Linked DNA regions of Oryzias latipes. The protein of the gene in region 1 purifies or fractionates together with the protein of each later gene. This does not show direct contact. Links are inferred from orthologs where the notes say so. Each region holds a gene or a part of one and is shown in the gene's direction. Other genes may lie near its edges.

Region 1 (4,011 bases):
GTTGTAAATGTTAATAAAATCATTTTTATTCCAATTCATTAAAAAGTGAAGATGGGTTGTAGAAGTGTTGTTGCATGTGTTAATATGTATTATTACAAACAAACAGACCAATATATTTTCCTTTAGGGCACAAGACTCAAAAAAAGAAAAGAAAATTGAAGAGGAATTTATTTACTTTCTTTCTCTGTCAGCAATGCAACATTGAACACATCACCCCCCTCTCGACTGGTACTTTTCCCCCCCAAATTTCTCAGGTTTCAGAGCTTAAGGTTCATTTTCCTTTTATACAAATATTTTTTTCTTATTAAACATTGTATTAATAACTGTTCATTCATTCATCTTCTAATCTGTTTTCCAGGGTCACAGGGCTGCTGGAGCCTGTCCCAGCCATTTGTGGGCAAAAGCGACACCCTGGACAGTTTGCCAGTCTGTGGCAGGGCCACAATCACACACCCATGCACCAATGCACTCTCACATTCACACCTAGGGGCAATTTAGACTAACCAATTAACCTATGAAGCATGTTTTTGGACAGTGGGAGGAAGCTGGAGAGAACATGCAAACTCCACAGAAAGACCCCCCCCCATTGATGTTCTGTTTCAGTATCCCCAGCTGAGACTTGAACCAGGGGCCTTCTTGCTGGGAGGCAAGAGCGCTAACCACTGCTCCACTGTGCAGCCCACTAATTAATAACTAATTATTATTAAAAAATATGAATATATTAATCATAATCTCAACTTTTTCTTAAAAAATAAAATTAAAAAATCACATTAAGGAGTGAATATAAATGCTTATTTTCACATTTCATTCATTAGTATGCATTAATGTCTTAATTGCTATTGTTTTATTTGTGATCATGTTTGAGCTTTTAATTGTAGGTCATCGTGTTCAATTGTGGTCATTGTAAGACAGCACCAAAATAAAAATCTGCCACATTTGATATAATATTTATGCACTTCCTAAAGGAGCAAATCAGGCAGACAGTGCCAGCTTGAGTGGTCTGTTTTATCTCAACTGCACAGTATAATGTGGTTTGTAGAAATACATTTATGATGTGGATAAAATAATCTGTTCTTTTTTTTGGGAGGGGGGGGGGCAATGATCTTATATGAGAGTTAAAGTCCGTTTTCCTTTAGTTTGCTTAGTTGTGGAAAGCACGAAGAAGCCTGTAAATTTGAAAGTAGGAACCAGGAAGCATTGACTTGACCCTGTAACCAGTCGGAACATCTACGGAGAGGACCAAACGGAAGTTTAGACGGTTGCTGTGGGTGAAGGGACAGCTTCGCTGTAGACGAAAATTTAAAATTCTCCCCTTCAATTTACCCAGTCTTCCCCTTTCCCTCGCCCATGTCGTCCAGCTCTAATATAGACATCGAGGGTGCGACCCAGCACCTCCGGGATATCCTCAAGCTCGACCGTTCGGGAAACGGCGCCGGTAAGTCGCACCGGGAACGAAAAGTCGCTGCGCTGCCAGTTAGGCCGCTAAGCTAGCAGGCTGCTAGCTTGCTACATTAGTAACACCCGTTTCGGCGTGAAAACGTCCCCTGATAGATTTTATACACATTTGTAGGAAAAAGGCAAACTATAGAAGACAGTTTAAACGTCGAAGAGTTTCCACTCACACTTGTCGTGTTTGAGTAGTTTGTTTGTGGCGCTGCGACTGCTTCGACCTCACCGACATAGCTCGGTTAGCTTAAGGCTCATTCCATCTATGGAAAAACTATAGAAAAGCAGATAAAGTGATACAGGAACTAACTTCAAGCTCTATATTAGTTCTTAAATCGAGTCACCATATTTGGAAGGTTTTCCCATTTTACATGATATACGAAGTCTAAAAATAAGCAGTAAACACTACAGGTAAGCAGCCAGGACTTCAAATATAATTATCGTGCGAAATATTTGTCACAGCATTTTTTATGTTACCCCAAAGTACACCAATCACCCAGAAAATTAACAGTCCCATATAATTGTATCACGCTTGTATGTCTGGTATGTTTTCGGGAAGCACACAACAAATGCTTTGTTTTTAAGGAGGAAAATTTTCAAGTGCGATTCTAGGGCTAAACGTGTATATGGATGGTTTTTAGAAATGTGTATTTTCGTGGCCTTGATGATTGCAGATCGAAGCATTAAGTTGTTAATGCTGAGAGAATTTTGAACATATTTCTATGTTTGTTATTTTTTTTTTTTTTTTTTTTTTTTACAGTTCTTGGTCATTTTTAAGTTTTTCAATTGTCTTGAAGTTTTTTTCTTAATATCAAATACCAAATATTTCTGACACGTGCCTGCTTGCACGGGGAATAATGTGTATTTTTTTGTTTAAACATATCAAATGATCTCAAAATAAATCAAACTTTTATTTTGGGATGATCTGGTTTGATTTGGACACGTAAATACTTTTTAAAAAATTGACTTGATTATCACTGGACTAAGAAAATGGATTTGCTGTGTTGTTTGTCTTTTGTGGTCCAGCTACAAGAAAATTGCAAGTGTAAAAGAATAAGCTTCATTTGGTCAAAATACGTTATTATAGTTAATTAAATCAAATGACTTATATCGACTCATTCTGGACTGAATTTCCTTTTAGAGTAAATTATTGGTTTTTGTTCGTTTAAGGTTTGCTTTAAATCAAACTGAATAGAAGAATCAAATGGGTTTGCATTTATTTTAAACTTACTTTTGGGTTATCTTTTTTTCATTTTTTTTGTACTGCTTTGTACACGTTTATTAATACAGTATAAATAAAATGATTTTCATGAGATGAAAATATTAGAAAATGGAAAGCGTCCACGTAACCCCTGAAATGATTCCTCCATGTAATGTAATTGATGGTCAGTTTAAAGTCAGTATCATACTGTTTGTTCTTTTCAGTTAACTAAAAATGTTTTGAAGTAACCCAATTACCATAGCAGTCTATCCTTTTCATAATAAACAGATGAACAATATTTGTGTCAAATTAAGTTATATTATTAAACTGAAATAAATAATTTAATCTTTAAGATTTAAAAGGCTTTACAGGTTAAAACACTCATCTGCTCAAAGTGATAAATGGGTATAAATATAATTAAACTGCTGGCTGTTATAAAAGCGGTGTAGTAAGAGTCCAAATGCAGTTCTATTTGCTGTCTCTCAAATGAAAAGCGCCTTCTGTTGAGGAAAGATGGCCTCCACAATACATTAAATACAGATTTTCTGTTTTAAACACTTTTAGTAGTTATTTTATCCGTTCAAAACAATTTTATCCTACACATTTAAACTAAAGATGCCACCAAATATGAAAACAAAAAAAATCAAGATCTTAAATAAATTCAGCAAGAGGGGAAAAAGTACTGCATGTTTTAACCTGCGTTATTTTAGTTTCATTATTTAAAAATAAATAAATATAAAGCCAGTTCATTTTTTTGGCAGCTGTCCTTTATATTTTTAGGAAAGTAAAAATCAACAGATTTCATCAGAAAAAATGTATTCAGAGCAAGAAATCTGTATCTAGTTTTTCAAGCTACTGTTGAGTTTGATGAGGGTTTTTTATGCTAGAAGAACCTTTTGAGCAAAAGGACACGGCAGAAACTGAGGAAACTGGCTGCGAGGAATAAATAAAAATAGGGACTCATTATGCTAAAACAGTATTGCATTTCAAAAAATCTATTCATCTAATTTGAAATAGTGTGATTTTGTTTGTTTTTCTTGTTAAAAAAGCTATTCTGATTTCTCTCCAATAATAATCTTTCTGACAATGTCTGCAATTCTCAAACTTTATTCCATAGTTATGATGGCTTGATCTTATTTTACACTTGTAAGATCAACAAACAACAGATTTGTAAGATAACAATCCTCTTTGTTTGTGTTAAATGCAGACACTTCACTGGCAGAGATGAGAACCGAGTTCTGCTTTCAGCTGTCATAAATACTGCATGAGTCGATGTCATTGATGTTCTGATTTGTTTATTTTTCATGAATTATGGGTCATAATAAACTGATAATCAACCTCCAGGTGCATCATGCCCCTTTATA
Region 2 (3,517 bases), on another chromosome or scaffold:
TGATGACTTTAAAACTATGAACATTTTATCTCCCAGCATATCCTTTATGGATGTATATATATATTAGGGCTGCACGATATGAGCAAAACTTGCGATGTGCGATATTAGTGATCAATATTGCGATAACGATATAATTTGCGGTATATAAACAAATAGCAAAACAACCAAAAACATCATTACCATGTCATTTCAACAGTTTAAAAAAATGATACTCCAAATGACCCTTGTTGACGTAGGATGCAAACATCTAACATAAAAGGGCTCATCTGATTGGTCAACATCGGAAAAGGTCCATCCAATTGGTCAAATGCATAAATGGATTTATTTGATTCGTTAAATGCTTCAAGCTGCCATAGGATTGTGTTAGCACATTTAAGGTAACCATTTATTGCGATTTTTGCTGACTTTTGCAATATGGATATTGCACTGCTTGATATTGCGATAACGATAAATTTGCGGTAAATTGTGCAGGCCTAATATATATATGTATAAATATATATATTTACGTCTTTCATGAGTGACTATGCTCTTTAAGGTGTCCATTATCTTAAGGGAAACCTCGTTGTCTGATACAAATTTGTAACCAATGTTGCCATTTTGCGTTAAGCCGCTCACTCCAGGTAATAACAACAGCAGAAATGGAATTATAGTGTATTTCACACATTTAGCTATGTACTTTTTTCAGGCACTGACTTCATGGCGAGACTTCAAGAGCAGCTTAAGTACTTTGTCCACAACAAGCTCTCCACTGACAAGCTCTGGCACAATGTCAAAGTCTACTTGTCTGGTCACGAGGTGAAGTGCTTTACATTCTTTCCAACTTGCTGACTGATTGATAGCTTCAGTGAAGGTTGCTTGTTTTGACTTTGTGGGGGCATCTTCTTCTTTTTAAGACACCGGGAGAGGGAGAACACAAAATCATGGAGTTTATTCGCTCTGAGAACTCCAAACCCAGTCATGATCCTAACACCCGGCACTGCCTGTATGGCCTGGATGCTGACCTGGTAAGGTTCGGAAATCTCTAAACAATGTTTTTGGAGCCCTAATAGAGTAATTTGCTTTGCTTTTTAACCTGTTTTCCAGATTATGTTGGGTTTAACCAGCCATGAGCCGCACTTCTCTCTGCTCAGAGAGGAGGTTCGCTTTGGAGGGAAGAAATCACAGAAAAGGTTTGGTGTTCCTCTCGATTGTTTTTCTCACAAGTCCAAGTTTTCTTTAGTATAAAAAGTACAATTATGTTTTTACATTTTAGCTTCTCTTTCAGATTCTTCTTTATCTTTGTTTTAAACTCTCCTTTTTGTCTTCGCCTCCAGGATAACGGCTCCTGAAGAGACGACTTTTCACTTGCTGCACTTGTCCTTGATGAGGGAATACATCGATTATGAGTTCTCATGGCTTAAGGTCTAACTTGGCACACAGAGCATTAAAGCATTTTAAATGTGTCTTTTAGAGCTGCACGATATGAGGAGAACCTGCAATTTGCCATATTAGTGATCAATATTGCGACGACGATAACTTGCGATACATGAACAAATAGCAAAATATCTAAATACATAATTTCCATTTCACTGCAACAGTTTAATTTATATAGGAGTCAGCATCACTTAAATTATTCTCCAAATGACCCTCGTCTACGTAGGAGGCAAGCATCTAACATAAAAGGCTCCATCGTTGGTCAAATGTGTAAATAGATTTATTTGATCTGTTAAATACTTCAAGCTGCCATATGATTGTTTTAGCACATTTAAGGTTGCCATTTATTGCAATTTTCTTCGACTTTTGCGTATTGCACAGCTTGATTTTGTGACAAATTTGCGATTTCTTTTTTTTTTTTTTTTTTTGTGCAGGCTTAGTGTCTTCTTAAAATATCTAAGGAGAGTTGAATGTACACTTTTGTGTTTCTGATATAAAAGCAATGTCTGATATGTATTTTCTTTGTTTATCTTTCAGAATCATTTGGGCTCTGCCTATGATCTGGAGCGAATAATAGATGACTGGATTTTAATGGGATTTCTCGTGGGGAATGATTTCATCCCCCATCTGCCTAATCTTCATATTAATCATGATGCTTTGCCAATGCTGTACAAAACTTACATCAGTGTGCTACCCAGCCTGGGGGGTTAGAACCACGCACACACACACACACACACACACAAATATAAGGAGCAAAAACATAATGGCATCACACATTTGTACATAGTTCCTGTGCTTTTACATTTACACTTTAAATGTTTATTTCCACTTAGAAGCATGAATCAACGTCATAATCATTCGATGTCTTATAGGTTTTATATTAACACCCACTTTTTCTTCTGGATTTTCATAATTAAAACCTATTTTTTTCTGTCTGATTTAGGTTATCTGAATGAAAATGGGCACTTAAACCTCAAAAACTTTGAGAAATACATGGAGAAACTTTCTGAGGTGAGACACATAGTATGAATGTTTCCAAAGAAATTTTTAAAATGTAAAAAAAAAAGTACATTTTATACTAAGAAAACAGTAAATAAATAAATCAAACTAAATATAACTATGGATGTGTTTGTATTAATTTGAAAACTAATCCTATCTTGACTTCTTTTAGTGTTGTAGTTTTGTTTCCTTTTTATAATTTAGTCCAGTCAAATTTTATGGACATGTTCTTTATACATGTTTGTATATCGCAGCATCTTTCTTCAGACTGTATTATTGGTACACTGTGTATTTACTAGCACATGACCTTTTTTCTCCCTTGATTCCGTCCTGCATCCCTCCAGTTTGACCGGGAACATTTTAATGAAGTGTTTGTGGACTTAAAGTGGTTTGAGAGCAAAGTGGGAAACAAATATCTGAACGAGTCGGCTGGTCTGGCAGCCGAGAAGGAATCTGCTGGGAAAAAGTTCAACAAGAAAAAGGTGGAGACACAGTGACAAATAAAGATCTTTTTTTTGACTGAGAGCAGCTTTTTTTTTTGTAATTTATGTCTTATGTTTTCTGGAAAGGATGCGTCCCTCGGACTGTCAGCCCTGACTTCACCTGACAAAGATACTGAACACAAAGAAGTGGCTGAGGATGACGATGAAGAGGAGGAGGATGATCTGTTTGAAACCGAGTTCAGGCAGTACAAACGCACATACTATATGACCAAGATGGCCGTAGATGTAGTGTCTGAGTGAGTACAAAGCAATACAGAAAGGAGTGAATGTGTAAAATCTATAGCAAACGATTTAAATAAAATAATTCCCTTTTGCCGACACTGTTGTCATTTACTGATTGTGCCGCATGGGAAAGAAAGTATGACTCAGCAGAAATGATCAGGTTTTTTTTTTTCTGAATCTTGTGCCTGGTTATTGATCAACAAGAAATGAGTGAGAAAATAAACTGGAACTAAAACAAATAAAGCATTTATTTTAATAGTCACAATGTTTCCTGTTTGAAAAAAGTTGCCATAAGGAATATTTTTTATATTTACTGTGAACGTAAAAAAAAAAAAAAGTAACATTTAACATGTCAAAATTAACAAACTGCTCTTTTGGGG

The links.
Region 2: the proteins of edc4 (region 1) and xrn1 purify together in Homo sapiens (co-immunoprecipitation; 4 studies listed by BioGRID and IntAct, with this or other methods). This does not show direct contact. The link is inferred for Oryzias latipes from reciprocal best matches to the Homo sapiens genes EDC4 and XRN1.

Annotation. Positions count from the first base shown.
Region 1 is NC_019864.2:24,347,467-24,351,477, forward strand, and holds the start of edc4 (enhancer of mRNA-decapping protein 4), read left to right. Parts: upstream 1-1,204; 5' UTR 1,205-1,347; coding exon 1,348-1,435; intron 1,436-4,011. UniProt on the Homo sapiens protein: In the process of mRNA degradation, seems to play a role in mRNA decapping. Component of a complex containing DCP2 and DCP1A which functions in decapping of ARE-containing mRNAs. Promotes complex formation between DCP1A and DCP2.
Region 2 is NC_019875.2:19,740,956-19,744,472, reverse strand, and holds part of xrn1 (5'-3' exoribonuclease 1), read left to right. Parts: intron 1-685; coding exon 686-795; intron 796-893; coding exon 894-1,004; intron 1,005-1,083; coding exon 1,084-1,169; intron 1,170-1,313; coding exon 1,314-1,401; intron 1,402-1,950; coding exon 1,951-2,119; intron 2,120-2,356; coding exon 2,357-2,424; intron 2,425-2,756; coding exon 2,757-2,894; intron 2,895-2,981; coding exon 2,982-3,151; intron 3,152-3,517. UniProt on the Homo sapiens protein: Major 5'-3' exoribonuclease involved in mRNA decay. Required for the 5'-3'-processing of the G4 tetraplex-containing DNA and RNA substrates. The kinetic of hydrolysis is faster for G4 RNA tetraplex than for G4 DNA tetraplex and monomeric RNA tetraplex.